4 linked regions of the Elephas maximus indicus genome follow. The protein of the gene in region 1 purifies or fractionates together with the protein of each later gene. This does not show direct contact. Links are inferred from orthologs where the notes say so. Each region holds a gene or a part of one and is shown in the gene's direction. Other genes may lie near its edges. The genes, in order: EIF3H, EIF4B, EIF3J and EIF3D.

Region 1 (7,518 bases):
TCAACTGGAAAAGTTAAGTTGAAGGTGCCTGTGTTCGAATCCACCAGTCGCTCCTTGGAAACTCTATGGGACAGTTAAACTCTGTCCTATAGGGTTGCTATAAGTCGGAATCAACTCGATGGCAGTAGGTATTAGACATTCAGTGGAGATGGTGAATAAACTGTTGGATATGCTGATCCATACTTCAAGGGCAAGGTCTGGGGAAGACCTAAATTTAGGAATCATAAGCATGTATTTTATGATGTTTACAGCCCTAAGAGTGGATGATGTCATTATGATAGGGAACAAATATAAGGGAAAGAAGATGCTCAAGGACTGAACTCTGGTGCTCTTCAATATTTAAGGATTTGGGAAGGGGAGCAGAATCCCTGAGAAGAAAGGAACAGCCAGTGAGATAGCAAGGAGACCAGGAATCCAAGTAAATGAAGTTTCATTGCTTCTAGGACTTTGTAGCTAAGGTATTCATATTGGTTTCTTAATTCCAATTCTGTGTCATAAGGTTTTATTTCTTAATTTCTTTTAATATTTATACCTCTGACCTATCAGGAGCACTGTTTTGGTCAGAGGACTCAAATGCACCATCTTAGGTCAGATTTAAAAAACCTGTGTAATGTGCTTGGAGTCCCTGGGTGGTGCAAATGGTTGGCTGCTAACTGAAAGGTTGGTGGTTCGAGACTACCCCCAGAGGAACCATGGAAAAAAGGCCTAGCAATCTACTTCTAAAAAATCAGCCATTGAAAAGCTTATGAAGCACAGTTCTACTCTGACACACATGGAGTCACCATGAGTCAAAATCAACTAGATGGCAACTGGTGGTGGTGGTGTGTAATGTGTTTGGCACACATGACTGTAAATCCTTAGTGGGATATTTCTAAGGACAGAAAAATTGCAAAGAAATTTTAAACTTTACTCAGTAGTTTTATTGGTAGTGGTAATATTGATATTGCAATTATGAAATATACTATGTGTTACGTATATTGTAGGATAAAGTAACTAAGTAAACTTATTGTTGGTAAATAACCTAAGTATTCTGTGATGTTGTCCAAGCATGACCAGTAACTTGAAATTTGGCTCTCAAAATGGAGGGTGCCGAGAGAACAAAGAAAGAGAGGACAACTCCAGTGTAGCAGCAAAGAAGACTTACATATGAGGCCAAGTGTTGGGCAGCAGCAGGACCAGACCAGATTGCCAGAGATCTGGAACGGCATAAATTTTACAGTGGTAGTGGACAATGGTGGCTTCACACCAGAGGCTTACATAAGAATGCAAACTAGTGAACTAGCAAACCACATGGGGGTGCCCATGTTCGGCCTCCCAAAGCCCGTTTCTCCTTCAGTCCACTCCCTGAGGCTGGCTTTTACAATCTGGCATGCTCTCCCTCTTGTGCTGTAGTACGAGTACGAGAGACCCCGTTCTCTCCCCACTGGGACCAGATATAGATGTGGGGTTGGCCAGCGCCGTATGGTGTTCATGCATATGCAAGAGACAGAGAAAGTTATTCTGTGCCCAGAACAGGGGGAGGTTTCTCTGATAAGGAGAAGGAACTGGGAGAGAGAAAAAACCAAAAAACCAAACCTGTTGCCTTTGAGTCGATTCCAACTCAGAGTGACTCTGTGGGAGACGGAGGCTCAATTCCTAGCCTCCTTATCAGAGAAGGCTTTAGACCCGAGGCCTTTACTTAGGCAGCCTGGGTGGGAGACGTAGAGGCAGACCATTCCTCCAACAGATGCTCATCTTGACAGGTACCCAATGGTAGGCACGCATCTCCAGTTCTGCTTGTTCCATTAGGGATTTTCTTTCCCCTCCTCCTCCTTCTTCTCCTTTTTCTTATCATTTTTTTACTGATTTTTAGTGTGATTTTACCATGATCAGCCTTCAACACTTGTAAATTTGTAAAGACTTCATCACCCAGGGTGTGATCTATTTTAATAAATATTCCACATACTCTTAAAAAGACTAGATATTAACATTTCCTTTTGTATCCTTAGTTTTTTGTGTGTGTGTGAAACCCTTTGCCAGGTACAACTATTTCTTTTCTCAGATTGTAACACAAGAGCTCCCTCCTCCCCAACAGCCAAAGCAAAAAAACCCGTTGCTATGAAGTCGATTCGGACTCACAGCAACCCTTTGGGACAGAGTAGAACTGCTCCATAGGATTTTCAAGGTTGTAATAAAAAAATTTTTTTTTTTTTTTTTAATCTTTAGGGAAGCAGACTGGCACGTCTTTCTCCTGTGGATCGGCTGGTGGGTTCAAACCTCCGACCTTTCAGTTAGCAGCAAAGCTGCTTAACCAATGTGCAACCAGGCTCCTTCCACCGACAACAAAAATAGCCAAAAACTTCAGGGAGGAAAAACCCTTCATTGATGTTCCCACTTTATCAGTTCTGAATACATACTTAAAGAATGAGTAAACATTTTAAAAATAAGACAAATTGTTATTTGGAATCTGAGAAATAATGTCTTAAATTCCTTAACTAAATTGGCTTTCTAAAGCTGTCAAGTTTTTTTTTTTTTTTTTTAAGACTTGAGATGTATATTTTAGAGTAATGTGTCACCAGTTAGCGTAGTTTTTAGGGAATAATATGTTCTGCATTATTGTTCAACACTTCACATAATAACGACAACAAAAACAAACCAAACCCAGTGCCGTCGAGTTGATTCCGACTCATAGCAACCCTATAGGACAGAGTAGAACTGCCCCATAGAGTTTCCAAGGAGTGCCTGGTGGATTCCAACTGCCGACCCTTTGGTTAGCAGCCGTAGCACTTAAGCACCAGGGTTTCCCACATGATAACATCTTTGGTATTTTGCTCATGTAAATCTCACCATGAAGCTAATAGAAATGAAGAGCTATTAGTTCTGGTAATTCCGATTAAAGTTCCTATGTTTGAATTAATTTCTTTATAAACCATCTTAAAATTTTCACTATCTAAAATTACATGAGACATAACATGGATGAATATGGAAGGCATTATGCTGAGTGAAATTAGTCAGTCCCCGAAAGACAAATACTGTATGAGACCACTATTACAAGAACTCAAGAAAAGGTTTAAACACAGAAGAAAACATTCTTTGATGGTTACGAGGGTGGGGAGGGAGGGAGAGGGATATCCACTAACTAGATAGTAGGCAAGAATTATCTTAAATGAAGGGAAGGACAACACACAATACGGGGGAAGCCAGCACAACTGGACTAAACCAAAAGCTAAAAAGTTTCCTGAATACAACCAAACACTTCAAGGGACAGAGTAGCAGGGGTGGGGGTCTGGGGACCATTGATTCAGGGAACATCTAGGCCAATTGGCATAACAAAATTTATTAAGAAAATGTACTGCATCCCTCTTTGGTGAGTGGCATCTGCGGTCTTATAAGCTAGCGAGGAGGGCCCTCTAAGATGCATCAATTTGTCCCAACCTACCTGACAAAGGAGAAAGAAGAACACCAAAGACACAAGGATAATATTAGCCCAAGAAACAGAAAGGGCCACATAAACCAGATATTCCATCAGCCTGAGACCAGAAGAATTAGATAGTGCCTGCCTACCACCAATGACTGCCCTGACAGGGAGCACAGCAGAGCCGGAGAAAAGTGGGGTGTAGAACTCAAATTCTAGTAAAAAGACCAGACTTAATGGTCTATCTGAGACTGGAGGGACCCCAGAAGACATGGCTCCTGGACTCTTTGTTAGCCTAAAACTATTCCAGAAGCCAACTCTTCAGGCAAAGATTAGACTGGAATATAAGACATAACTAAACCGGCAGCTCCCTCAGGAAGCGAGATAAGAAGGCAGAAACGGACTGGAGCTGGTTGAACTGATGGGGGAAATCTGGGGTGGAAATGAGGAGCGTGGTGACATATTTTAGGGATAGCAACTAGGGTCACAAAACAGAGTGTGTAAAAATTTCCGCACGAGAAACTAACTTGAGCTGTAAACTTTGACTTAAAGCACACACGCACACAAATTACAGGACACAGATTGCAATACCAGCTTGCCACTAATGAACAGAAGGACATTGCCCAAGCTACGTCTTAGTTTCCCAATACGTCCAGTGGGAGCTAGTACTCCCTTCATAGTTTACAAGTTTGGGAATACAGATTAATTCAAAAGATTAGAAGTGAAAGCATTTTTACGTATAAGACGCTACCGTGATGTCAGCTATAATGCTATTATGGTCACTCCCTAAAGGAGAATGACTAAATATGAAGTGGAAAACATTTAAAAAGTCTACAAAACTGCTCAACAGAAACGGGAGCGCAGCTGCACAACCCGCATGCGCACAGGATTCCGGCGGGGAGGTACAATAAGTGGGCGGGAGAAGAAAAAAGGCGGGGCCCTGCGCTGGCCACACCTCTTAGCAACGCGCCTGAAACGGAGGTGTGTCCTTGACGTCCCGGGAAGGTTATACTTCCGCTTCCGGTTACTCACTTTCCCTTCTTCCTGTCCGGCTGGAAAAATGGCGTCCCGCAAGGAAGGCACCGGCTCTGCGGCCACCTCTTCCAGCTCCACTACCGGCACTGCAGGCAAAGGCAAAGGCAAAGGCGGCTCCGGAGACTCGGCCGTGAAGCAAGTGCAGATCGATGGCCTGGTGAGTTGGGCCTGGTCTCCTCCGGCCCACGTGGGCAGCGCAGTTCCCATGGCAGTCTCGCCAGACACGCTTCTCCTCTGGGTCTGGTGAGGTTGCGCCAACGTTTTCCGTAGCATCCTCCTCCTCCTTGATCTTCACTTTTTATTTGGGAGAGGTGGCAGCCTTCTCCGCCCTCTGACGGGAGCTTCGAGGGTTGAGAAAAGGGATCGAGGTTAGGGGTTTGTATGACAGACGCTTGAGGTCTTGTTTTCATTTGGAGAAAGAGTATTGTGGGAATCAAGTAGGTGACGGAAGTGTCAAGAAGATGTAGGATCGTAGTTTCCAAACAAAAAATAAAAAAACACCAAACCCACTGCCGTCGATTCCAACTCAGAGCGACCCTGTAGGACAGAGTAGAACTGCCCCATGGGGTTTCCAAGGCCGTACATCTTTACGGAGGCAGACTGCCGCATCTTTTCTTCCGCGGAGCGGCTGGTGGGTTCGGAGTTCCCACTTTTCAGTTAGCTTAACCACTGCACCACCAGAGCGCCTTTTTTTTTAGAACACTAGCTTAGGGCTCTTGAAAAGGGGACGGTAAGGGAAAGTTTTCACTGCTTCCTTGCCGTGATTTGACATCTGTAACTTCAAATTGTAGGCTTACTTTTTAGCCACCTTTCTGAGCTTGTGGTTCAGTGCTTTACCTACGTAACTGGAGTAAACTCTTTACTAGTGGTCATTCTCAAGAACTTAAGTGAATATCAAGGAGAATTTCCGTTATTACACGTATTTAGTGATTGAGGTTCGTGAACTAGGACTTCTAAGGAAATCTGGGTAAGGGAATGGACTAAGCAGGAAAGAGGCAAATATAGAATGATGTGAAATTTCATTTCTGTTGTTTCCAAACAAAGTGCATGTGTAGGACCTCCTAGCTTTAAAAGCATTGCTCTTTTTGAAAGCTTTTGTTTTTAAAAGCACCCTCCTCTTTTGCACACCTTTTGTTTTTTTTAGTCTGCTTAGGTCTCTGTCTGGTCTGATTATTTTGCAGTAGTCCAGACCTTAGACATTTGTAATAAAGAAATCTTTTAAGATTCATTTGACAGTTTTAATTGCAGTAAGGTACATTTATGTGAAGGGAGACCTGGTGGTGTAATGGTTTAGCCCTTTGCTGCTAACCAAAAGGTGGGCAGTTGGAACCTAGTAGCCCAGCAGCCATTCTGCCGGAGAAAAGACCTGGCAATCTGCTCTCATAAAGATTTCAGCCTAGGAAATCCTGTGGGGCAGCTCTACTCTGTCATACACAGTTGCTAGAAGTTGGAATCTACTCAAGGGCACACAACAACAAAAAATGTTTACATAGAAACTATTGATAATTTCAGTAGCTTAATCTGTTGAAGTAAACTAGAAAAGGAAGTGTTTAAGTTAGTAAAACTGAATAAGATGGCTAAGACTCTAGACTCTGGAGTCATTCAGTCTTCCTAGCTTTGTGATCTTAGGCAAGTTAGCCTTTCCAAGTCTTTCTTCTTCATCTGCCCAGTGGGAATGAGAAGTAATTGTGTGATGAAGTTGTTGCAAATTCGTGGGGGTGGTACATAGTAAGCTCTTAGTAATTGTTAGTTGTGGTATAATTATTATTATGAGCATTATGTCTATGGATGGCAGGGTTTGAAAGATGCAGGCAGGAAATTAACTTTGAAAATTCCTTGACCTGTCCGTTTACTTGTCATTTGCATAATACTTTGAAAATGTATTCTACTTACATTTCTGATGTTCACCCGCCCCATTGGAGGCAGGTGTGTGTTCAAGAGTAAATAACATATTTTAGAAATTGAACGTCACTTTTTTTTTGGCAGTAGGACTGAACTAGTAAAAGTAAGTACCAAATTTAATACTTATTAAATTTGCTTTTGTGACAAAACCACTCTTTGAACCACTGAGTTTTCATAGTTGAAAATGTAACACCTTAGTGATGTTTGGTTAAGGTAATTTATTTGGCAAATATTTTAGGGCTTTCTTCTAAGTGCTGAGCACTGTGTAACATGGATGAATGATAATGGTACACCAGTAACTCTGTCCTTGGAGCTACAAGAGATTGTTGAATTAAAAAGACAGCTACAGGTGGAGTCAGACTAGGATCACGAAGAGCCTTACAGGCTGTGACGGTGGGCTCAGCAAGGTCAAGAGACTTGTTCTCTATTTTGTGACTTCACAAATCATTTTTATCAGCTAGTGGTTAAGAGCTACAGCTGCTAACCAAAAGTTTGGCAGTTCAAATCCACCACGTGCTCCTTGGAAACTCTATGGGGCAGTTCTACTCTGTCCTGTAGGGTCTCTATGAGTCAGAATTGACTTGGCGGCAATGGGTATCTCAAAGTTGTTTAGTTCCAAGGGACTGATTAATCCTATTCATGAGATTGATTTATAAACTTAAATGTCAGTTTCTTAATTTGCTGTGGAAGATATACCTTTGTAGTGACTAAAATGTTCACATCTACTACCAAAAGCACCCTTTTTGATTACCAGGGTATCTGGGAAATCATATTAAAAATCAGCTTACTAGTGACCACAGAATCCATTATAAGGGCAAATGAGGGACCTTGAGGGTTATTTATTCCAGGGTTTTGAAAAACTTGGTGAAGTACTTCTTAACCGTAGTAGTGGATACCTCTCTGCTTTTGCTCTTTATCAGTTAGATAAATATTAATCAAATAAATTCTTAATAACTTCTCTTTCCCTTAAAGAAAAAAAACCCTTTGCTGTTGAGTCAGTTCCAACTCATAATGACTCTATAGGACAGAGTAGAACTGCCCCGTAGGGTTTCCAAGATGTAGCTGGTGGATTCGAACTGCTGACCTTTTGGTTAGCAGACAAATGCTTCACCACTGCGCCACCAGAGCCCCTCTCTCTCCCTTACTGAAGACATTTGTATTTCTAACATTAAAAGAAAAATTAGACA
Region 2 (7,281 bases), on another chromosome or scaffold:
AATTATTTTGTATAGGTTATATAGATTGCTTGAAATATCATGCCATTTATATGCTGATGACTCCTATTATGTGTCCTCCCAAAATATGTGTTGTAAATCCTAACCCCTATAGCTGTGGCTGAGGAGCCCTGGTTGAACAGTGGTTAAGCGCTCGGCTGCTAACCAAAAGGTCGGCGGTTTGAATCCACCAGCCCGTCCACGGGAGGAAAATGTGGCAGTCTGCATCTGTAAAGATTATAGTCTTGGACATCATATAGGGCAGTTCTACTCTGTCCTATAGTGTCCCTATGAGTTGGAGGACTAGAGAGCAACGGGTTTGGTTTCTTTTTTATATCTGTGATTATAAGGGGCTGTGTTTTCTTTGCTGTGTTAAGAGGGCATATCAGTTTAGGGTGTGTTTTAAGCCAATCACCTTTGAGATATAAAAAGAACAGATTAGGCACAGAGAAGCAAGCAGAGATGGGGGAAGATAGATGCCCTGCCACATAAAGATCACCACGGAGCCAAGAAACAGAAGTTGAAAAGAGACAAGGACCTTCCCCCATGATGCTCTGAATTCAGACTTCTAGCCTCCTAAACTGTGAGAGAATAAAATTTCTGTTTGTTAAAGTCACCGACTATGGTATTTCTGTTATAGCAGGACTAGGTAACTGAGATCAAACCAAAATCGAACCCTTTGCCGCTGAGCCAATTCCGACTCATAGTGACTCTACAGGACAGAGCAGAACCGCCCCATTGGGTTTCCAAGGAGCAGCTGGTAGATTCGAACTGCCGACCTTTTGGTTAGCAGCTGAGCTCTTAACCAGTGCATCACCAGGGCTCCAGGTAACTAAGATGGCTCCCGAATTCCTATTTCCAGACTTGGTCTCTTTCAGGAACTCCAGATCACCTACTTGACATCACCACATGGTTGTCCCCAAACCAAAACCCTTTGCCGTCGAGTCGATTCCGACTCATAGCGACCTTATAGGATAGAGCAGAACTGCCCCATAGGGTTTCCAAGGAGCAACTGGTGGATTCAAACTGCCAATCTTTTGGTTAGCAGCCGAGCTTTTAACCACTGTGCCACCAGGGCCCCTACGGTTGTCCAGTACTCTGCTATTCAAACTGTGGTCCTCAGACTGGCACCATCTGCATCACCTGGAAGCTTGTTAGAAATATAGAATCTCAGGCCTCATCACCTCAGCCCTGCTGAATTGGAATGTGACTTTTAACACATTCCTCAGGTGATTTATAAGCACATTAAAGTTTGAGCAAACTAGTTGCTGTCCATACAGTTCCAACTTGTCACAACCCCATGTATGTCAGAGTAGAATTGTGCTCCATAGGGTTTTCAATGGCTGTGATGTTTTGGAAGTAGATCACCAGGCCTTTCTTGTGAGGCACTCCTGGGTGGATTTGAACTGCCAACCTTTAGGTTAGTAGCCAAGCACTTAACCATTTGTGCCACCTATTTCAAACTTCACATGGCCAAAATAGAGCCCACATACCCCCTCTAAACCTGCTCCATGATAGGCTTCACCATGTGAGTAAACAGCATCACCCAGGTTGTTATGGATTGAATTATTTCCCCCCAAAATGTGTGTCAACTTAGCTAGGCTATGATTCCCAGAATAGTGTGATTGACCATAATTTTGTCACCTGATGTCATTTTCCTATGTGTTGTAAACCTTATCTCTATGATGTTAATGAGGCAGGATTAGCGGCAGTTATGTTAAGGAGACAGGACTCAATCTACAAGATTAGGTTATGTCTTGTGTCAACTTCTTTTGAAATATAAAAGAGAGAATTGAGCAGAGAGAGTGGAGGACCTCAGGCCACCAATAATGAAGAACCAGGAGGGGACAGCATCCTTCAGACCTGGGGTCCCTGCACTGAGAAGCTCCTAGACCAAGGGAAGATTGATGACAAGGACCTTCGCCCAGAGCCGATAGAAAGAGAAAGCCTTTCCCTGGAGCTGGCACCCTGAATTTGGACTTCTAGCTTCACAGACTGTGAGAGAATAAATTTCTCTTTGTTAAAGCCTCCCACTTGTGGTATTTCTGTTAGAGCAGCACCAGATAACTAAGACAGAGTTCATGCCAAAAACTTGGAAGTTAACTTTGATAGCTCCCTCTCCCTTGACTCTCACATCTAATCAATCATCAAGTCTACTTCCGAAATATATCTGCATCCATCCTTTTCCATCTCCACATTCACATCTAAACCACCATCTTCTCTCACAGCAATTTATCCACTAAGGGCCAACTTATTCATTAGGCGTAATGCCTAAGACCCACAATACTTCTAGGGTCTTTCTCTTTCATTATTCCATCTGTCTAATCTACTCTCCATTCAGCAACCTCAGTATTCTCTTTTTTCTTTTTTTAATTAAAGTATGACTTCCATACACTAAGGTCCAAAAATCTTAAGTGTACAATCTGATGCATTTTTACAGTTATACATTCATATAACCGCTACCCATATGAAGGTACTAAATAATCTTTTTTAAAAAATTATTTCAAGTCGTGGCTTTCTCCTGCTTAAAATCATTCCGTGCTTGATAAACAAAACAAACAAAAAGGAATATTATTCAGTTATGAAGAAATGAAGTTCTGATATATGCTACGACATGGATGAATCTTGAAGATATTATGCTAAGTGAAATAAGCCAGGCACAAAAGGACAAATATAAAATAACTAGAATCGACAAATGCATAGAGACAGAAAGTAGATTAGTAGTTGCCAGGGACTGGGGAAGCTGAGGGGTGAAGGAGGAGTTATTGCTTAATGGATACAGAGTTTCTGTTTGGGATGATGAAAAAGCTTTGGAAATAGCAGTGATGGTTGCACAGCATTATGAATATAATTAATGCCACTGAATTGTACTTAAAAATGGTTAAAATGGCAAACTTTATGTTACATGTGTTTTACCTTAATTAAAAAAAAAAAAAATCATTCCATGCTTTCCCAACCACCTCCTGGTTTACAAAGCCGCACTTGACCCAACTCCTGCCTATCTCTCAAACTTCATCTCGTACCACTCTCTTACTGTTTTTGTTAGCTGCCTTCGAGTTGGCTCTGACTCATAACCTTACAGATATCAAAACAAATAGTTGCACGTCCATCTCCATGATCGTTGGGATGCTACTAGCCTTTAAATTCATCAAATTGGCAAGGTGTTCCTACCCTGGCCTTTGATGTAACTGCACATCCTCTCCTTCCCCTAAAACTCTCCCTGAATACGTTCGCAGGGCTAAGCTGCTTGTGATTCAGATCTCTGCTTAAATGTCGCTTCTCAGGAGGTCTTATCTAGCCACATTCTAGAGTTGCACCCACTCAGTCATTTTTATTACATCACTTATTTTAATTACCTCCAGAGTCCTTATCATTTCTAATACTTTATTTATTAATTTGCTTATTGTCTGTCTTTCCCTCTCTGGAATATAACCTACTTGAGGGTAGGGATCTGGTCAGTTTTGTTCTCTCTTGTACCTGCAAATGTCTTTAACAATGCCTGGCACAGAGTAGGTGCTCAACAAAAATTGTCATGGACTGAAATATTAATATATGACAAAATGGAGCATTAGCTAGCGAAAACATGGGTAGCACTCGGCTATGAAATCATAGAAAACCGGGTTTGACTAAACCTAATCAGAAAATTGTGAGGATTAAACAAGGTAAAAATCCATGGCAAATAATGTTCAGTATTTATTAACCTAATTTCTTTTAAGCACGTTTATTTACAGCATTTTTAGGCAGGATTGTGAACTTGTTTCGCTTTTACAAAAAGTATCCGTCCCAGAAAATCAATTACGGCACACCCATTCTAGGTTCTAGCCCGCCTTGATTCTATCCCTATTAGTGCAGCCAGCAAATACGAACACGCCTGTTCCGCCTAACGCACCCGCAGGAAGTCTGCGGACCATGAGAACCCGCCTCTCGTCCGCGCGTAGTCCTACGTAAAGCGTAAGGAATTTCGCGACAGCCCAAGCCCCACCCCTCCGGCCTCATGTCGCGCAGGTCTTCCCGTCGGACGCAGCCCCACCTCCTCGCGCTGCTTTACGAACCTGGAGCAGCGCCGCCCCGCCTCCGGTCTCCCTCCTTACCTCCCCGCCCCCTCCCAGTTTCGCGTCTCCTAGGCCGACGCGCCCGCTATAATCACGTGATTGCCTCATCCGGGTCCTTTGCGTTCTCTCTCCCTCTCCCAACATGGCGGCCTCAGGTGAGTGAGCGGCCGAGCGCGGCGAAAGACCGGGCTCCTAAACCACTCTACCAACCTGATCCACTGACTACCTGGAATCGGGAGGTGGGCGGCACTGCTTCCCTTAGGATTTGGGGGCTGCGGCAGGCTGGTGGCTTGGCCATCTTACATTATTGTCTCGGGATGTTTAGGGGGGAGGGGAAGGTGCCCTTCCCCTCCCCCTCACAGCCTTTTCACCCGGTCTGCGCGAGGCTCGAGTCGGGGGTAAAGGTGGGCTCTGGCTTGAGTTGGAGCGAGGAGGCGCAGAAGGATCTGCGAGAGGCGCGAGATGTTTTCATGGACGTGATACACTGTGCCCGCTTGAAGACGTGGAGGAAGGAAGGAGCGGTTGGCGCGCGGACCGGCGCACACTAGACTAGGTCTCCAAGGCGCGAGGCCGTTGCGGACTGGAGCGGGGGCAGGGGGATAAAGGGGGGGCAGTTAGAACGCGAGCGCGTGTCAGTGGAGGGGCGGGGGTGAGGCAGTGGTGCGCGTGCGCGGTGGGAGGGACGAGGGTAGTGGAGACAGGCGCTCCTCAAAAGCATGCGCGAGTGCCTAAATGGGAAGGCTTTACGCGCCTCTGTTGCCCCTTTTTATGTCCTTCCACTTTCTGCTCTTTTCCTCTAAGAGTGTGGCCCAGCTTTGTACTCTTAAAGGTACATGTGTCAGGTTGGAGGTTGAAGCTACTAAAGTTAGGTGGGGGTAGGGAACTCTGGTGTACCCACGTGTTGGAGCGGAACCAGGGCTAAGGACTTAGATTTTCTTCTGTGCCTTTTTTCTTGTCAAATTTTTACTGAGCGAAAACGTTGTGCAAGGCACCGTGGTAGGCACTGGAGATAGTGGTGAACGAGATTAGGTCCCTGCTCTTATGAAGCTTCTATTCGCGTTGAGTTTTTGATAGTTCCGGTGGTAGAGTTCAGTTTTTTTTTTTTTTTATAGATGTAGAACTACTAGGGATACAATTAAAATGAGTTGAGTTGTTTTTTGAGGGGGCGTTATCACTGTCATGCAGATCTTTCTGATAGACTTGGAAGTGCAGCAGTAAGCTGTGCAACATCTTGTAGCATTGATTTTAGTTTGACGAATATAATTTTTTCACCCTGGCATCACCCTGCATTCCACAAAACATTCACTGAGCCCCTGCTATCTCTGGACACTCACTTCTCACCAGGAATTTTACCTTCTTTATTATTTATAAACGAGGCTAAGGGTTATGCTTATCTTTAGAAAATGTCGAGGTAGTTGAGGTGCAGTTGAACATGATATCTTTCATTGCTGTTCATTGGTGTAGACTTGCCAATTGACCAAGCAATTCTGTGTGTGTTGTCTCGTTTGGTCCTCTGTGAGATAGATGGTGGTATGCCTCAGCCGAGGACAATGAAATGATTTGTTCAAGGTCACACTGCTTGCAGGTGGCAGAGCAAGGCTGAAATCTAAGACTGTTGACTCATTACCATCACCTACTTGGGAGTACCAAGGTTGACTTCCTTTTTTGGTGTGCTGTCCAAAAGCTTCATCTGAAGTTTAAAAAATTGTACTTTTTTTTTTCTCTCTGAACTGGTACAGTCCTAAATTTATTTTAAGCTTATCATTGTGTCAAATACCGATTTGGCCTGGGTTTGCCATCTTGACAGTTAACTGTCTCATAATTTAGTGAAAAGCCAGTATTCTCCTTATCCATAACTTTTGTGAAATTATTACAGGTAGAAGACCTGTTAGCAATTATATAATCTGTGTCCTTCATTTTACACATGAGTTCAGTGAAATCCAGGCTGGTTAAAGGGGTATGCTCAGTGATGTCCCCTTCTCCTGTTTTCCATGTTTAGTTTACCCCCTTGGAAACACTTCCTTAATTCAGTGGATACTTATTTAGCTTGTTTAGTCTGTGCAAGGGGCACTATGCTGGAATCTGTGCTCAGGGATACATCTGACAGTCTGTCCTCGGGGAGTTTTAGGTTTATCAGATTTCTTTTCCCCTTTAATCTTTTACACTGTAATTGACTGTTGGGTAACCAGTAATACCAGATCTGGCTGTACTAAAGAGGCTGTAAAATTCTCAGTGTATTTTCAGTGTTTCCTGATGGTGACCAGTGTTTTGCTGGAAGTAGATCTTGTATTTCCTCTGTGGAAATACATGATACAACTTCATCAGCCTCTTTTGAGACTGAAAATTCTTCGCAGCAATACACATTTCCAGTGTGACCCGTCGTTGACTTCAAGAACTGGAAGTATTTCAGGGCTTACTATTAAATGGAGGTATCTTGGATTTTTAGGAAACTTGATACATTGAGACAGGCCACTTGATTCCTTGTTTGGCTTCTTAAGAATACTCCCCTGAAACTGAGGTTTTCATTTTGTTTTAACTTTTGTAAATTTGTTACAGACCATTTACCTCTTGGGTCCCAGTTTCCTCATCTATAAAATGAACATAGTTTATCTGCTCACTTTAGGTATAGAGAATCAAACGTGTTTGATACATGTTAGCACTTTTTGAAACTAAAGTTGGCAAAAGTGTGTGCATACCTATGTGCAACCCTTTCATTTTGCATAACACTTAAATGCTATTGAATATGGCATTTTGTTTGATTTTTTTTTTTATGGGGAGAGGATGGTATCCATTGTTTTCATATGGTGCTGACCCTCATAGTTATTTTCCCTTTGATTAACCTATGATATCCTTCATATGTGCATTATCCTGTGATTATCCAAAGAGAAATAGTTTCAGAGATTGCCATTGGATTATGTTTGCATTATTACCTGTTTTCAAATCCCATTCTCTACCATATATTTGTTATTCTGAGGCTAGGATACCTAGATTCAGAAGGCCAAAACTAAAAACGCCTTACGGAAATTCAAAGACAAATACAGAGAGTAAAAAAAAAAATCTGACTCATAGAGAGTAGAAATGTCGCTTAGGGTTTCCAAGGAGTGGCTGGTGGATTCAAACTGCTGACCTTTTGGTTAGCATTCCAGCTCTTAACCACTGCGCCACCAGGGCTCCGAACAGAGAGTGGAGTCAGTTGAAGTAAAACAGTGTGTTTCTGAATAATACCATTGAA
Region 3 (8,236 bases), on another chromosome or scaffold:
ATATTTAAGGGCTGTAAAGCCAGGTTTGGTGGGTGATACGGGGGTGGAGGGAGTGGATCAAGCCGGGGAATAATCAGATTTGTCTTAAAAAGGTTACTTTGTTACATAAGGAATGGAGTGCAGGGGACCAGTTAGAAGAGTTATCTATAACTTAACTTTCCACACAAGTGTTTCCTTTCTCTGAGGTTAAGTGGTTACTAGCATTACAACGGGGCAATCTGAGGCCTGGAGGACAGGGGACTGGTAGAAAGCTGTGGGGAGCGTGGCTCGTCTAGCTTAGAAGAGTACTGACAGATCAGTGTGGACTGGGCACTCCCTGGGGAAAGACGTGTGCTTTCCACTGGCCAGACAAAAATGGGAAAGAACTGTAGGGTTTTATGGCACCTTATAAAAGTCTGGAAAAATGTGCAGGAACTGAACAGAGACAGTGTTGTCATTTTATGTCTTATATGATTCTTGGATACATAGACATGTCTTTTTTGGCTTGTTTAAAATGAAAAATAAATTTGTTCCTTCTGTATCAACTCATACAAACTTTTTTTTTTTAGGTGACTGAGTAATCTTCGTGTTTTATATATATGAATTTTAAACTGGCTCTGTTTGCAATTAAAACCTCCCCCTCTTCAGCTTTAACCTTATTTCATCTTTAGGAGATTTTGAATCTGGTACTTAAGGCACCTAAACTGATAAGCCATGAGCAGCTCTGCTTCACCTCTGTTGGCATTTACTCTTCTAGAGCCTTCCTGAGGGCAGAGGTTTTAATGTTCATTTGTCCAACAGTTACTGACCACCTACTCCGGTCATCTGTGAAATAAACTTTTTAAAAATATGTAAAATTTGAGTAATACTGTTAGTTGCAATTTTGGGGCTTCCCTAGAGGCTAACATGTGAAACACTGGTTTGTTTTAATAACTAAATGTTAAAGTACCTAGCACATACTTCTAGACGCTTGTTTCCGAATTCATTGGGGCGGGTACAGCATGCACCAAACTGTGAGCAAATCTTAACTGCTGCTTCCAAAACATCGGCGCTGAAGATGCACAGGCTCTTACGGTGTTCGTTCATACAGCACCACTCCCCTCCTTTCCAGCTGCAATGGTTTAACACCTTGAAGTGAGTTTTTTCTGTGTTCCCAGAACCTAGCAATTGGTACATATTTGGTACTCAATAACTATTTGCTGACTAAATGAAGGAATGTCTGAGCCTACATTTAGAAGTTCAGACTTATACTTTCAAGTCCATAAAATTGATTTATTCAGTGCAACCAAAACTGACGAGACTCAAGAGAACTGGTTCACACACAAGACACTCATTTTTTAAGCCAGATTTCAATTTTATTCATTTACTGTCAGCAAGTTCCTTAAAAGACTGAATCACAATCTGGGGTTTTTTGGTAAGGGTGGAACCAGAGAGTCTATTATAAAGGAACCTTAATGGCTACTATCAAATCAAGCGGATACCCTCATATGATACAACTGCTAAAAGTCTGCAGGTCAGCTCATTGTTTCCTTTCTATAGAGACTATCAAAATCTTGTTCTTTGGCCTCACCTTCCCTATATTTAACCTTCTTTCTGATAATAATTTTTGGTTTAAGATACATTGTCTTAAAACATCTTCAGCAAAGTTAATACAAATAATTACACTACCGCTTCAGAAAAACACAACGTTGCTTTCCTGAGACTCTACCTTGATGTAGTTGTTTGGATCTGGCATCTTCTTAGCCAGCATACCTTATAATAAAAAGCTTCCTTCCTTGGGGCCCGGCAGTATTAACTTTTTTTCTTTTGAGATTTCCTTTCATGAAGAGAAATCTGATGGCCTGATGGGCAGGCTTTTCTAACTTGGAAAAGAACCCAGTAAGAAATTTATTCATGTAGTCATTCAAAAATAGTTACTAAATGCCTACTCTGTGCCAAACACAGAGCCCTGGTGGTGCAGTGGTTAAAAGCTAAGGTTGCTAGCCAAAAGGTCAACAGTTTGAATCCACCAGCCACCCCCTGGAAACCCTAGGGGGCAGTTGTACTCTGTCCTGTAGTGTGGCTATCAATCAGAATCGACTCCAAGGCAACGGGTATGTGCCGAATACAGACTCAAGTACAGTAGAGCATTAGCCTCTGAAGATTTCCTGTTTGCAATTAGACTCTATTAGGATGTTTTTGTCAAGATTTTTAGCTGAGGCCAAGAAAAGAATTTACTGCAATGATACTAAGGTATCTCATGGCATTCAAGGAAGAGTTGAACAACTGGACCACAGGGAAGGCAGGAGGAACCAGGATGGCCTGGGAAAGCATCACTTCAGCAGGAGTTGTGGCCCTCCCTTCAGAGTGCTGTCCCAGCCACGACAGCTCCCAGGCCCTGGGAGTCGTCAGTTCCAAATTCTAAAGTCTGGGAGAACCTTTCAGTTACCCACTGCTGCATAATAATTCATTCCAAAACTTAGAGACTTAACAACTTATCTCTCCACTGGGCAACTTTCCCTTGGGGTCTTCTGTGGTTGTATTCAAACAGTGGTTGGATGTAGACTGCCATCTGATGGCTCAACTAGGCTGGATGTCCAAGATGGCTTCTTCACTCCCACGTCTGGCATCTCAGGTGGGATAGCTGGAACAGTGGGAGGCTGGCTGTTCACGTGATTCGCTTGGACCTCCTCACAGCATGGTGGTCTCAGGGTAGTAAGACTTATTAAATGGCAGCTGGTTTCCCCCACAGTGAACGTTCCAAAAGAGCCAGGTGGAAGCTGCAAGGCTTGTGACAACCTTAGGTGTCACTTCTGCCCTATTCTGTCAGTCAAAACAGATCATAGGGCTAGCCCAGGTTCAAGAGGAAAGGACTACATAAGGGTTTGCATATTGTTAAGTGTGGTTCACTGGAGGCCATCCTCGGATTTGGATGGTTCCTCTGGTTACTTATATCCCACCTAGGGGCAGACCCAGGTTTTATACAGCCTGAAGCATATGCAATTTGGAAGGGTTTCTTGAAGAATGAGAGGAACTCATGCAATGAAGAGCCCTAAAGCTAAAGTTTCATTAGCTTCACAGTTAATCTGCTTCTGATGCCCTTTCCAAGCCAGCTCAGCAAGGGTCAGACACGGCTTTGGGGGTCTACTCACCTTTGTGTACTTGGAGTTTCTGGAAAAGAAGGAATTATAGCTCTCCCCACTCCTCACCAGCAGTACCCAGCATTCAGTTCAACATAATCTGATTGTTTAACTGACCTCCAAGCAGTGACTTTTCAATCCACCATATTCCATCTCACAAAACCAAACCCACTGCCGTCTAGTCAATTCCGACTCATAGCGACCCTATAGGACAGAGTAGAACTACCCCATAGTTTCCAAGGAGCACCTGGCGGGTTCAAACTGCCAATCCTTTTGTTAGCAGCTGTAGCACTTAACCACTACACCACCAGGGTTTCCAAGAAGTCACTAAGGGGACTTCAATTGTGTACGTGTGATGTTATGATTTACATTTTTAAATATACAAACTGGCTGGTGTGTAATGAACAGACTGTGGAGTTGGAAGAAAGCAGGCCAATCGGGAGGTTACTATAGTACACGTAAAGACAGCTTGGATTAAGGCAGTGGCAGCAGAGATAGGGATGTGGATGGGGGGGGGCACTGAATGGATTCAAGGTTAATACTGTAAAAGAACCACAGGACTGGGTGATAGACTGAATTTAGGGAGTGAGAGGAGAAAATCAAGGATAGCTCCCAGGTTTTTTACTTGAGTAACTAGATGGGTGTCATCACTGTGCACTGTCCTTTCCCGCCTCGTCCAGATCCAATTAGTCACTAAATCCCATTGACTCTAATCCCTAGATATTTCTCAGATTGGTTTCTCCCTCTCTGACATGGCCTTAATTCAGGCTTGTGTCCTTCCCATTTAACTAATTCATGAAATACTTATTATGTATTGGGCACCGTGCCACATGCTGGAGATACAATTGTGAATGAAACACAGGCCGTGCCCTCAGGGACCTTAGAGTGCAGCTTTTCCCTGCCTCCTTCTGATCCATCGTTATGAATTGATGCCTATAGATCACTGCTTCTCACGCTCTAATGTTCAGAAAAATCATCTTCCGATTTTGTTGGAAAGGTAGACTCTGATTCCATAGGCGTGGATGGGGCCTGAAATCCCGCATTTCCAGTAAGCTCCAGCTGCTGATCCGTGAACACACTCTGATCATAGTATGAGGGCTGCAGGCTGTCTCAAGAAAAACCATCTTTGTACAATGTATTATTTGTACACCTTCTCTAAAAGGATACACAAGAAACCTAGAATAAGGTTGCTACACAGTGGTTTTTGGTTGTAAGTTAATACTATATTTATAAATATGTATCTACAAAAAACTTGAACGCTGTAATCAAGTATTAAGTCTTTGAAAATAAAAGGAGTTAATAAAACAAAACATTGAAACTGCTTGCCTCTTACAACCCCACGGTGGAGCTCAGAGCCCGGGGACGCGTGCACTTGCTTAGCTCACCTTAAACCCCTCTGAGATCAGTTTACCGTTTCAGCCGCATCTCCGACTGCGTTACTCAGCCGCACTCAGCTGACCTCTGTGGTCAGGGACAGCACACACGGCTCTTTACACCAGAAGTGGTCTTCCAAACTCAGGGAGACGTCTCTGCACCCTCCAGGTCCCCGCCGTCCTTAATGTTACCCTGTAACGTTTAACCTCACAATGCTTCTTTTACGCTGCAGCCATCACACTGTGTCGACATTTGTTCACAGCCTACCCTTGCTACTTGATTGTGGGCTCCGGAGGACACGGCCAGGGCCTAGGTCCAGCAGAGCGAGGAGCTCCCCAACTGTCCCGCCAAGAGAGGCTCGATGTCCCGGCTTCCGGGGCTCCCGGGAAGGGCACATCCTCCAGGGTGACCGAGCCCAGCCGGCTCCCAGCGACCCGGCTAGGGAGGATGTCCGAAGCGCGCCCCGTGCACGCCGGCTTCCGGCCTCCGGCGCGGGCGGACGGCGCCCTCCGCGGGCCGGGGGGCTCGCTCGCCGCCTCCCACAGGCGGCCACCGGCGGAATCCAAGCGAGCAGAGTGAGGGCAGGGCGCAGGCGCCGAACGCTGGTGCTCGGGGCGGGGCCGGGGCCGCGGGGGCGGGGCCGGGGCCCGGGGTGGGCGGGGCCGGAGCCGCGGGGGCCGAGGATAGCGACCACGCGCTTACGTTTCCTCCGCGGGCCCAGGGTAGGCTGCCGGTCTCCCGGCTGCTCTCCGTCCTCCCGCCCGCCAGCCTGCGGAAACGTCCTGCCGGGAGGGAACCCCCGACTCGGCCCCGCCGCTCCCCGCCGCCTCGCTCGGCCCCGCCGCTCCCAGCGCTGTCCGCCGCCTTCCACGCTGCCGCCGGCCCGCGCGTGCGTCGCCCGGCTGCCGCCAGATGGGCGGGGCCTCGGCGCACAGTCCGCCACGGTCCCAGCCTGCCTCGCGCCGGCCAACGAGAGCAAAGCCAGTGACTCACCTCCTGCGCGCTGAGTCCTCGCTTCCTCCCCCTCACACACGCTCACACCCGGCCCGAGATGGCGTCGGCGACGGCGGCGACGGCGGCGGCGGCGGGGGACTCCGATTCCTGGGGTGAGGAGCGTTCCGAGGGCAGGTTCTGGGCCCGGACCGGCGCCGGCCCCACGCCGAGGCAGGCACTAACGCGGCTCGCTCTCTTCCGTAGACGCGGACGCGTTCTCCGTGGAGGACCCGGTGCGGAAGGTGGGGGGCGGCGGCACCGCCGGCGGGGACCGCTGGGAAGGCGAGGACGAGGACGAAGACGTCAAGGTGGGCGCGGGCCGGGGCGCCGGGCAGCGCAGGCCGGGTTGGCGCTGTCGCGGGCGGGTTGCCTGCCGGCCGGCGGGCGGGCGGACGGGCGGACTCGGCCCAGGGGCGCCGCTCGGGCCTGCGGGCCGCGAGTCCCGGCGCGGGCGTAGGGTCGGCGGCGCCGTGTCTGCTCGCTGGGCCTGCGGGCCGGGGACGGGCGGCGTGGCGGCAGCCCGGCCCGGCCCCACTCGCCGGCGGGTTGCGGAGGTGACAGCACTTCCCGCCGGCCCACGTGCCGGCGTCGCTGTCGTGGGGTCGCGGGGTGAAGCGGGAGGTTGAGGGCTGAGCCGCGTGGCCTGGCCCGCAGGGGAGGGCCTGCAGCCGGCCTGCCTTCTCGAGATCAGGCCCGCTTGTAGCAGACTTGGACGGAACGGTTAGGTGAGCGAGATAGTGTGTTTTGATTTCAGTTTTTTTCCGCCTGTTCACACGAGACAAATAGAAGCAGTACGGGGAGGGGAGTTTGAGCCCTCCCTCCCCCACCCTGTGGTGAAAAGGCTGAGCCGAGCGCGGAGATGGCCAGCGGCTAGCCCCCAGAAACCCGCTCAGCCCACTCGGCGACCTGGGCAGTGGGCAGTGAGTTGTGTAATGTTCCGCGCACGACGGCGGCGCCTGAGGATGAAGCACTAAAGATTTGGCAGTTGGGGTAGAGGAGGGGCCGCCGCTTATCTTTTTTTCCCTACGCCTTGTAGATCAGAATCCTATTGACGTAATGCCGTTTGCTTTTGAAAACCCCCAGGGGTGGTAGGCCTTTAGATGACATTCTGACTTCTGTTTTTTTTAAGTAGCTACAAAAATCTGAAGTTCAGAATGTTAAGATGTTCAAACCCTTATTAACAAGGTTCTCAAAGTCTTGTTACATTTGTGCAGATGAAAGTATGAAGTGGAAAAAATGGTTTTTCAGGTTTTAATTAATTCAGTGAATGTTTTATGTTCCTAACTTCTACTCTTCAGTGTATACTGAGAACCTTATAAATTCTTCTGTTTGAATTGGAGATTTTGAGCTAGATAATCACTATGAACATAATAGCGCTATTGTTTGGACTTTTCCCTTTTCTCCTGAATCTGATAAGGTGGATGGCCCTCACAGCCTGAGGTTCAGGGGTGGTGTGATCTTTGTACACATTGGAGTTAATGAATGAGTGGTACTCTTATTGACTGAAGATGCTTAGGTGTTCTGTTTACACATTGTTCAGACAAAGAGATAGATGGTGTTATCAGCTTTCTTGCGAGATACTAGTTACCTCCCTACATTGTGAAGCCCCGGTGGTGCAGTGGTTAAGAGCTCAGCATGCTAACCTAAAGGTTGGCAGTTCGAGTCTGCCAGCTGCTCCTTGGAAACCCTGTGGGGCAGATTTTCTGTTTTGAACCTTGGCTTTGAGTTCTAGTTTGTCCTTTCACTTTTCCATGCATACTAAATGTGGCAGTTTAGATATATGTTATGAAAATTGAGTTTAAGTTAGCAAATGAGAAGAAAAGATTAGAGAAGTTAGGAAATAAGTCCCAGAAAATGATAATTTGAGTAGAGTAGTCTGAACTGATACAGTATCATGAAACAGCCTTCCTGGAGTTAAAGAATCTAAGTGGTATTGGTCCTCATCAGTAGAATTCTGATCTCTGTGGACTAGTTTTGGAGATTGACAAGTTGTAAGGAGCCCTGTGGTACAGTGGTTAAGTGTAACTGAAAGGCCAGTGGTTCAAATCCACCAGCTGCTCCACGGGAGAAAGATGTATTTTGCTCCTGTAAAGATTACAGCCTTCGAAACCCTGTGGGGTAGTTGTGGTTCTGCCCTGTCTTACAGGGTTGCTATGAATAGGAGTGGACTTGGTGGCAGTGGGTTAATGGACCATAAAGGTCATTTTGTCTAGTCTTCCTTTTTTTTTTTTTTCAGTTTCATCATGTATAAACTGCCACTATAGTAACCTACCTCAAAGGGTTATTTTTCGGATTATACCAGATAATATGTCAAGCACTAAGCAGAGTTGCCTGGCACACGGTAGGCCCTCAGTACCTGTTAAGTCTCACTTAATGGAAAATATGCTTAGGCTGTTTAAATCTACTGTCTGGGGTTCATTTTGTGCCACATTGTTTGTGATTTCCTAAGCCCAGAGAAGCGCTTTCCACGTTCCTTATTTACTGTGAATTTTATGTTTTGAATGAAATGATCATAGTTATCAGGCAAGTTTTTACTTGTTCAGAGGTTATTGATCTAGAGTTGAATTTTGTCATTTTGGGTGGTGGTGAGTAACACCAAATTTCTGAATTCTAATGCTTTAAGACAATCTTTGTAAGGAAACACACTAAAAAAAAACCCAAACCCGCTGCTGTGGGGTTGATTCTGACTCATAGCAACCCTGTAGGATAGAGTGGAACTGCCCCATAGGATTTCCAAGGCTGTAATCTTTATGGAGCCTTGGTGGCACAGT
Region 4 (7,609 bases), on another chromosome or scaffold:
AAGGAGTTTTCATGGCATCTTTCCAGCGTGGAGATGCACATTGTCCTTTTCTGGGCAATTTAATAACTAACTTTTCATTATTGCTAATAATGGCTAATGTTAGCACAGCAGTTTATAAGTGACAAAGTCTTTTATTTCCTTTGAGCCACATGACTGCAGTATTTCAATGCCAATTTTATGATAGTAAAATGAGGCTCAGAGGGCAAGGTCACTAACCAAGGTCACAGGCAGCTAGTAAGAGGCAGAGCTGGAATTTCATGTATTTATTCATTCAACAAACATTGATGGAGTACCTACTATGTGCCTGATATAGAACTAAGTGTGGAGGCTGCAGCAGGAAGACAAAAGTCGGGGACCCTGCTCTCAGGGGGTGCCTGTTAGTGGGGGGAGGTTGAAAATGGGCACTCGTACAAAAAGACGTGATAAGTAGGTGAAGACCCTGTCATGGGGCTGTGTATTGGAAAGCGATTTGGGTGCAGCAACTCTACGGCAGGAGTTCAGGGGAGACTTTCTGTGGAAGTGGAGGTGATGGAAGAGGAGGTGACACCTGAGCCAAGACTGGAGGATTAGAGGGAGCTGGCCAGGGTAGGAAAACCCTGGTGGCGTAGTGGTTGAGTGCTATGGCTGCAAACCAAGATGTCAGCAGTTCAAATCCACCAGGCACTCCTTGGAAACTCTATGGGGCAGTTCTACTCTGTTCTATAGGGTCACTATGAGTCAGAAATCGACTCAACGGCAGTGGGTTTTTGACCAGGGTAGACCTGGTGGGGGGCGGGGGGGGGTGTCCTGCTGGGGAAATAGCCCTGCGTCAGGAACAGCCTTTTTTGTTCCCACACGTGCCCTTCCAAGGAGGGAAGGATGAGTTCTCGCATGCTGGGATGGGAAGGGAACCTCTTGGCCATCCAGTCCAGCATTCACTCTGGAGAGGAATCTCCTTGTCACACCTCTGGCTGGTTGCCATCACCTTCTCTTGGATGTCCCCAGTGCCAGGGAGCTCACTACTCTGTTAATGCTACTGTGCCTTCTTGGGACTCTTTTCTGGTCAGCGTTTCCAGTTCCTTTGTCTATTTCTTGGTGTCCCACACCCCCCACTCCCTCATGCCTTTTTTTGTGTCAGAAGTCTAACAAAATGGCCATCTCCAAAATTGCTCTTCTCTCCTCCTCCAGTCTGGGAACAACTGTCATTGGCACCTCCCCCCGCCACCATCCCCTGCTCAGTTCCACCCTCCTATTTTGGGTGCTTTTTGGCCTTTTATAGGCCTCCCTTCATGTCCACAAGTTCCCTCTACTCTACCTTCTCTGCCCCACCTGAGCACCTCCACCCTCTCATAGCCTGCAGTCTACCGGGGCAAAGATGCTCCTTCCCTCTTGCGTTGCTTTGGTCATCTTCTTTGAGTTGGCACTAGTCTTTTCCGGTCTACCCACATTCATTTCAGCTCCTGGATTCTGCCATTCCTTCCCCCTCAGGGGACTCCCTGGGTGGTGTCAACGGTTAAAAGCTAGGCTGCTAACCTAAAGGTTGGAGGTTGGAGTTCACCCAGAGGTGCCTTAGAAGAAAGCCCTTGTGACCTACGACCGAAAAATCAGCCATCGCAAACCCTATAGAGCACAGTTCTATTCTGACACACGTGGGGTCACCGAGAGTCAGGATCAACATGACAGCAACTGGCAGACTATGGAATGGAGTTTAGGATTTTATCCTCAGGGTAACGGTAAGCATCTAAAGGGTTTTAAGGGTAGGGGTGGGGTGAGCATGTGCTGACTTAGTGTAAAGCAGGGGCATTCTGCTGCTGCATGGAGAATGGACAGCAGATAGCAGGAAAATGGCAACAGGGGTGTCAGTTGGGAGGAGGAATGGAAGCAAGATCTCCCACCTAAGCCCAGGGACCCACTATTAGGAATGAGACTGGACAGTCCAAATCCATCTCCATCTGGGTGGGCAAGGATGTCTAGGCCGAAATCTGGGAAAGATGATTCAGTTCTCTGACATGAGTCATGGAGGGAGGATGCAGCAGATGGCCTGTGAGTCCATGATCAAAGCAGTTCAGCAAAAATACATTTTCCCTTATGGTTTAGAACAAGGACAATTTATTATGGATATTAATTACACTAACATTTATTGACGGAAACCCTGGTGGCGTAGTGGTTAAGTGCTACAGTTGCCAGCCAAAGGGTCAGCAGTTTGAATCCTCCAGGTGCTCCTTGGAAACTCTATGGGGCAGCTCTACTCTGTCCTATAGGGTCGCTATCAGTCAGAATTGACTTGACAGCACTGGGTTTTGGGAACATTTACTGAAGGAGCCACTGCGGTGCAATGGTTAAGCATTCAGCTGCTAACCAAAAGGTTGGTGGTTTGAACCCACCTAGTGGTTCCATGGGAGAAAAGACCTGCTCCCATAAAGATTATAGCCTTGGAAACCATATGAGGCAGTTCTACTCTGTCCTATAGGGTTACCATGAGTCAGAATCAACTCCATAGCACACAACAATAACATTTATTGACTGCTTATCTATGTGCTAGAGTAATGTGCTGAATTCATTTTTTCATGTAATTCTCACAAAACCTCTATCCATTCATTCAACACGTCAACAAATATGTAATGTTCTAGGTAGACAAAGCTCCTATCTTCATGGAGCTTACACTCTAGAGGGGGAGACAAACTCTACACAAAGAAACAAATAATATTCCAGGTAGTGATGAGAACTATGAAAAAAACAAAGCAGGGTAAGAAGGCAAGGAGGGATGGAGAGAGAAGGAACTATTTTAGGAAGACCTCTTTGAGGAGATAACTCTTCAGCAGAGATTTGGATGATGGGACCAAGCCAACTATGAGTAGATGTGGGAGAAGAGTGTGTCATGCAGAAGGAACACAAGTGCAGAGGCCCTGCTGAGGTGGACGTGTTTTCATTGTTGTTAAAAAAAATTTTTAAGGAAAACTGAAAAATGAGCCAATTGAAAGAGATCTTATGGAAGAAGGTGCTATTAACATTCTCATTTTACAGATGAGTAAGTAGGTTTAAAGAGGTTGAATAATCTGTCCGTGTTCATCCATGGACATGGGTAAACACGGAATTACTAAGTACTTTAAACGGAATTTAAAAGGAATTACTAAGTACTTTAACATACACGGAACCCTGGTGGTGCAATGGTTAAAGGGTTTGTCTGCTAACCAGCAGGTCAGCAGTTGGAATCCACCAGCCCCCCTTGGAAACCCTACAGGGCAGTTCTACTCTTGTCCTATAGGGTCGCAATGAGTCGGAATCGGCTCTATGGCAAAGGGCTTCTTTGTTATAACATACATTCTTTATTTTTACAATCACACACACAAAAAAAAAAACCTGTTGCCCTGGAGTCGTTTCCTACTCATAGCGCCCCTACAGGGCAGAGTAGAACTGCTCCAAAGGGTTTCCAAGGAGGGGCCGGTGGATTCGAATTGCTGACCTTTTGGCTAGCAGAGAAGCTCTGACACTGCCAGATATGGAAACTGAGGGCCAGAGAGGTGACACCACTCCGCCAGAAAATGGCAGAGTCCAAACTAGATCCCAGATTTGTCTAATAATAGATGTATTTTCCAATAAAGGAGACAGGCTGGGAGACGAAGGAAACCTAGGAGACCAAGTAGAAAAGGATCTGACTGAGTAAATCACACCGGAATTGACTCGTCCACAACAGGTTCGATTTTCTGGTGCTCCTTCTGATCAAAGTTTTGAAATTTCTCCGGTAAAGACTCCAGGAGAAAATCCCTACGCCGAGAGTTGCAGAGAGGACAGCATTGTTGCCCAACGTAGCAAAGTGGTTCTGAGTCCCCCCACTTCAGAAGCACAGTTGCCAATTTAAATGCAAATTCCTGGACTCCTCTTTAGGCAGATTTGAATAACTATCTGTGGGAGCGAGATTCGTAATCTGCATTCTTTTAAAGTAGAGCTCCAGTAATCTTTGCCGTACAGTCAAGTTTGAATAGTTTTTAAGTAGGATTTGGACACTGGTAGACACTCCTAAACTAGCACTCTAAACTAAGCAGGTCATTTTACACGTCAGCTTCCGCTACTGTAAAAAGGAAACGGGTGCTAATTACTGTAAAAAGGAAACCGGTGATAATTACGAACCGGGCCTAAAACACTCGCCCCACCCCTTGCTGTAAGAATCAAATGACATGATTGGTTAAAGAGAGCGGGGGAGCCGCGGGTCATTGTGGGATACAGAGGGGCGGAAGGGTCCCGTGAAGCATTCTGGGATACTGAGTGGATCTCAGCCTCTCCCGGCCCCCAGCCTCGATTGCACGGCCGCTACGTTTCAGTGCTGCCTGACGTAACTATAATCACACCTCTTGCGTCTTGAAGTCTGGGAGGCTTCGGCTCACACCTCGCAAAGAGCAGTAACGACTTTCCGGGTTACCTTAGCTTTACGGCTCGTGCGTCTTACCACCGAACTCGGAAGAAGCTGGCGAGCAGTTTACGACAGCGCCGGTCGTGTTTACGGCGCCGGCTGCTGCGCGCGCATGTTCTCCCTTTTCCCTGTTCTCCGAGTGCTTCTGGTGACTCGCGTTTCTTGCCCCGACCATCTCCCGCCATCGGGGAGGGCCGAGGCCGTTGCAGGTGAGCGGCGTGTTGTGTGGGGTCCTGAGGGCTTCCGGAGCCGGTTGGGCTGGATCCTGCCTTCAGGGGCCTCCCGGAAGAGACCTCCTGTACGTGCCCTCCTGCTGCCGCGGTTCCTCAGCCGGGCGGGGCAGAGAGCCACTTTTGGAGGCTCCGAGCCCAGCACCCCTTGGGGTGCGGGATCCGGCCCAGTTGGTGAAGTCTCTGGCTTTAAGCTCGCTTCTTGGCCACGGTTTAAGCGTATTTGGTTGTCACTTAACTCAGCTGGGTCTCAAGGTGTTTCTAAAGTGGCTGGAGGCTTCCTGAGTTTTTTCTACGAGTGGGTTATTGAGGGTGGTAAGCTGAGCGATGTTCGACCCCTGCCCTGAGGAATGCGCAGCTCAAATGTTTCTTTTCCTTTTCTTTGACATGAGAGGTTAGGATGGAGAATTGACCTGATCGGAAGTCTCTCTTCGCCCAGGGGTTGATGGGTGCGATCTGCGATGGCCTCGACAATATCTACACAACACTGTGGCCAGTACAGCTGTCACTGTCCATTTTCCCCGAACGACTCCATTTCCCCTACTGGTTCCATTCTGCTCGCTCTGTTTTACTTGGGCTGGAAAAGTGCATGTCAAGCCTTGGGCCGGTTTCCTTCTTGAGCTTCTTACAGAACGACTAAACTGAAAGAACAGTGTATTTGCAGACATTCTTATTGCGTTGTTAAGTATGGTCTGAAAGTCCCAGAGTTTTTCAGACTGCCGCCCAGCTCTAATGGGATGAAGAGAGTGTCGGACTTACGGCAGACTGCCCTGTAAATCGAATCAGTTCAGAAACCATGGACAGGTCAACCGCTTGATGTGGCTGAGGTTCAGATTTTTATCTCTAAAATCGGGAGGGAGGTAGTGGTGTTAAAGTATCTAGTATGATGCCTCGTCCATCCAAAACCCGAACCCGTTGCCATCGAGTCGATTCGGACTCATAGCGACCCTATTGGGCAAAATAGAACTGCCCCACACGGTTTCCGAGGAGCACCTGGTGGATTCAAACTGCTGACCTTTGGGTTAGCAGCTGTAGCTCTTAACCACTATGCTACCAGGGTTTCCGCCTCGTACATACAGCTCAATAGATATTTATTGAATGTGAATTGTTGAGATTACCGCCCCTTCCCTCTGTCCTCTTTGCTAGCATAGCTTAAGTTCAGAGTTGGAGGATGAAGCTCCTAGGTTCATTCCCTGTTGCTATCATTCTAGTGTCATCTCTGTAGGAAGCCTCAATCTCCCCATTTTGGACAATGAGGAGAGTTTACTGAGTTCAGTATATCTCTGCTTTTCGATTTGCTCTTCAGCTTCCAGGAAATGCTTGTGTCATGAGTTTTTCTCAGGGAACGAAGGTTGTGAGCACTTTCAGAGTGCTGAAATGGATGGTAAACACATAATTTTTGGTAGGGACTGTCAGGCAAGCATCTGCGTTGGAACCCCAGGCTCATATACTCCTGAGAGGAGTTAAAGCGTTGTGCAGAGAGTGGACTCTGGAGCCAGACTGCCTGGATTCAAATTCCTTATCAACTACCATTGAGACTTTGGGTAATTTCTTAACTTCACTGTGCCTCAGTTTTATTATCTGAAAGTGGAAATAATACTGGTCCCCACCTCACAGGATTGTTGGGAGGATTTAGCGAATTCATATATGGTTAGCACTGAAAACAGTACCTGGTATCCATAATATTTGATGTATGGTAGCTTTTGGCCTAAGGTTTATGGTGACATCAGCCTTCTGGCAGGCCTTTGCCTGGCTATGTCCACTTGCTCTGCACACAGGATTTGCATTGGTGATAGAAAATTGGAAGAACAAGAAAGGAAAGTCAAATTTTCTGACATAACTTACGGATTCTTTTTTCTCACCACTCTTTGGGCATAAATGTATTTTGCAAGGCTGGGTAGTAATTATGTGGCATTTTACAAAGGAGGCATTTTCATGTGTGTTGACCAGGACTTCCACGGTGATCTCGTAGTACAAGATAAAGCAAGGATTCTATTTATTTTACAGATGGGGAGACGGGGGCTTAGGGAGGAATCGTATGCCTGGGTTAAGGGGCTTCTAAGAACAGAATGTGGTTATTACAGTTGCAGAAGGGTTACCAGATTTCATCAAATTTGTGAGACACACTGATGTTAAGAAGCACCATTATCTTATGTAACGCCGAGAAAAACTGCCAATTAAGCTGTGGTACACCATCAAACATAAGTTGTAGCTTCATTTCAAAGATGTCACAGCTGAAAAAGTGTCACAGAACTAATGAAATACAGTGAATCAATTTGGTTATCAATCTAATGAGCTTTATTCACAGTGTCACTTATAAGAAAGCATCTCGTCAGTAGCTCAGTAGTTCAGAGTTGCATTTTGTGTGTTGCTTTTTGAATTTTTATCATTTCTGTCTGGGCCTACCTCAAATGGAGGACTTTTTGTACTGTGAGGCCTTTCTTCCCGCAGCTACTCACCTTATTTGTGTCTTTAAGGTTTTAGAAGATGGCGAAGTTCATGACACCCGTGATCCAAGATAATCCCTCAGGCTGGGGCCCGTGTGCAGTTCCCGAGCAGTTTCGGGATATGCCCTACCAGCCGTTCAGCAAAGGAGACCGGCTAGGAAAGGTACTTGCCTGTCAGCAGGACTCTGCGTCTTTCAAGCTGTGGCTGTTACTCCCCAGGAGTTCCTGTTTGCATTTTATTCTCTCAAAAGCATAACCCCTGCGTTCCTTATAGTGATACCAGCTGAGAAAGGCTCTGACCTCTGGAAGTAGTCACAGGAGAGCTGCGTACTTACAAAGGCATTGTGATCCAGTTCTTCTGAGACTTTATCACACTGTTTCCTCCTGTAACTTTTTCAGGGGTTTCTGGGTCAACAGCAACTTGCCTGGTTGACCTGTGCATTCTCTGTCTTTCCTTGTTGCTCTTAATAGGTGGCAGATTGGACAGGTGCCACATACCAGGATAAGAGGTACACAAGTAAGTATTCTTAAACTGACTGCCAAAT

What was found.
Region 2: the proteins of EIF3H (region 1) and EIF4B purify together in Homo sapiens (affinity purification with mass spectrometry; 3 studies listed by BioGRID and IntAct, with this or other methods). This does not show direct contact. The link is inferred for Elephas maximus indicus from reciprocal best matches to the Homo sapiens genes EIF3H and EIF4B.
Region 3: the proteins of EIF3H (region 1) and EIF3J purify together in Homo sapiens (affinity purification with mass spectrometry; 3 studies listed by BioGRID and IntAct, with this or other methods). This does not show direct contact. The link is inferred for Elephas maximus indicus from reciprocal best matches to the Homo sapiens genes EIF3H and EIF3J.
Region 4: the proteins of EIF3H (region 1) and EIF3D purify together in Homo sapiens (affinity purification with mass spectrometry; 10 studies listed by BioGRID and IntAct, counting the BioPlex papers as one, with this or other methods). This does not show direct contact. The link is inferred for Elephas maximus indicus from reciprocal best matches to the Homo sapiens genes EIF3H and EIF3D.

The regions. Positions count from the first base shown.
Region 1 is NC_064833.1:25,733,041-25,740,558, forward strand, and holds the start of EIF3H (eukaryotic translation initiation factor 3 subunit H), read left to right. Parts: upstream 1-4,411; 5' UTR 4,412-4,454; coding exon 4,455-4,586; intron 4,587-7,518.
Region 2 is NC_064822.1:108,529,089-108,536,369, forward strand, and holds the start of EIF4B (eukaryotic translation initiation factor 4B), read left to right. Parts: upstream 1-4,109; 5' UTR 4,110-4,191; coding exon 4,192-4,204; intron 4,205-7,281. UniProt on the Homo sapiens protein: Required for the binding of mRNA to ribosomes. Functions in close association with EIF4-F and EIF4-A. Binds near the 5'-terminal cap of mRNA in presence of EIF-4F and ATP.
Region 3 is NC_064828.1:11,590,912-11,599,147, reverse strand, and holds the start of EIF3J (eukaryotic translation initiation factor 3 subunit J), read left to right. Parts: upstream 1-5,144; 5' UTR 5,145-5,523; coding exon 5,524-5,578; intron 5,579-5,669; coding exon 5,670-5,773; intron 5,774-8,236. UniProt on the Homo sapiens protein: Component of the eukaryotic translation initiation factor 3 (eIF-3) complex, which is required for several steps in the initiation of protein synthesis.
Region 4 is NC_064822.1:180,151,120-180,158,728, reverse strand, and holds the start of EIF3D (eukaryotic translation initiation factor 3 subunit D), read left to right. Parts: upstream 1-4,460; 5' UTR 4,461-4,596; intron 4,597-7,094; 5' UTR 7,095-7,104; coding exon 7,105-7,227; intron 7,228-7,535; coding exon 7,536-7,581; intron 7,582-7,609. UniProt on the Homo sapiens protein: mRNA cap-binding component of the eukaryotic translation initiation factor 3 (eIF-3) complex, a complex required for several steps in the initiation of protein synthesis of a specialized repertoire of mRNAs.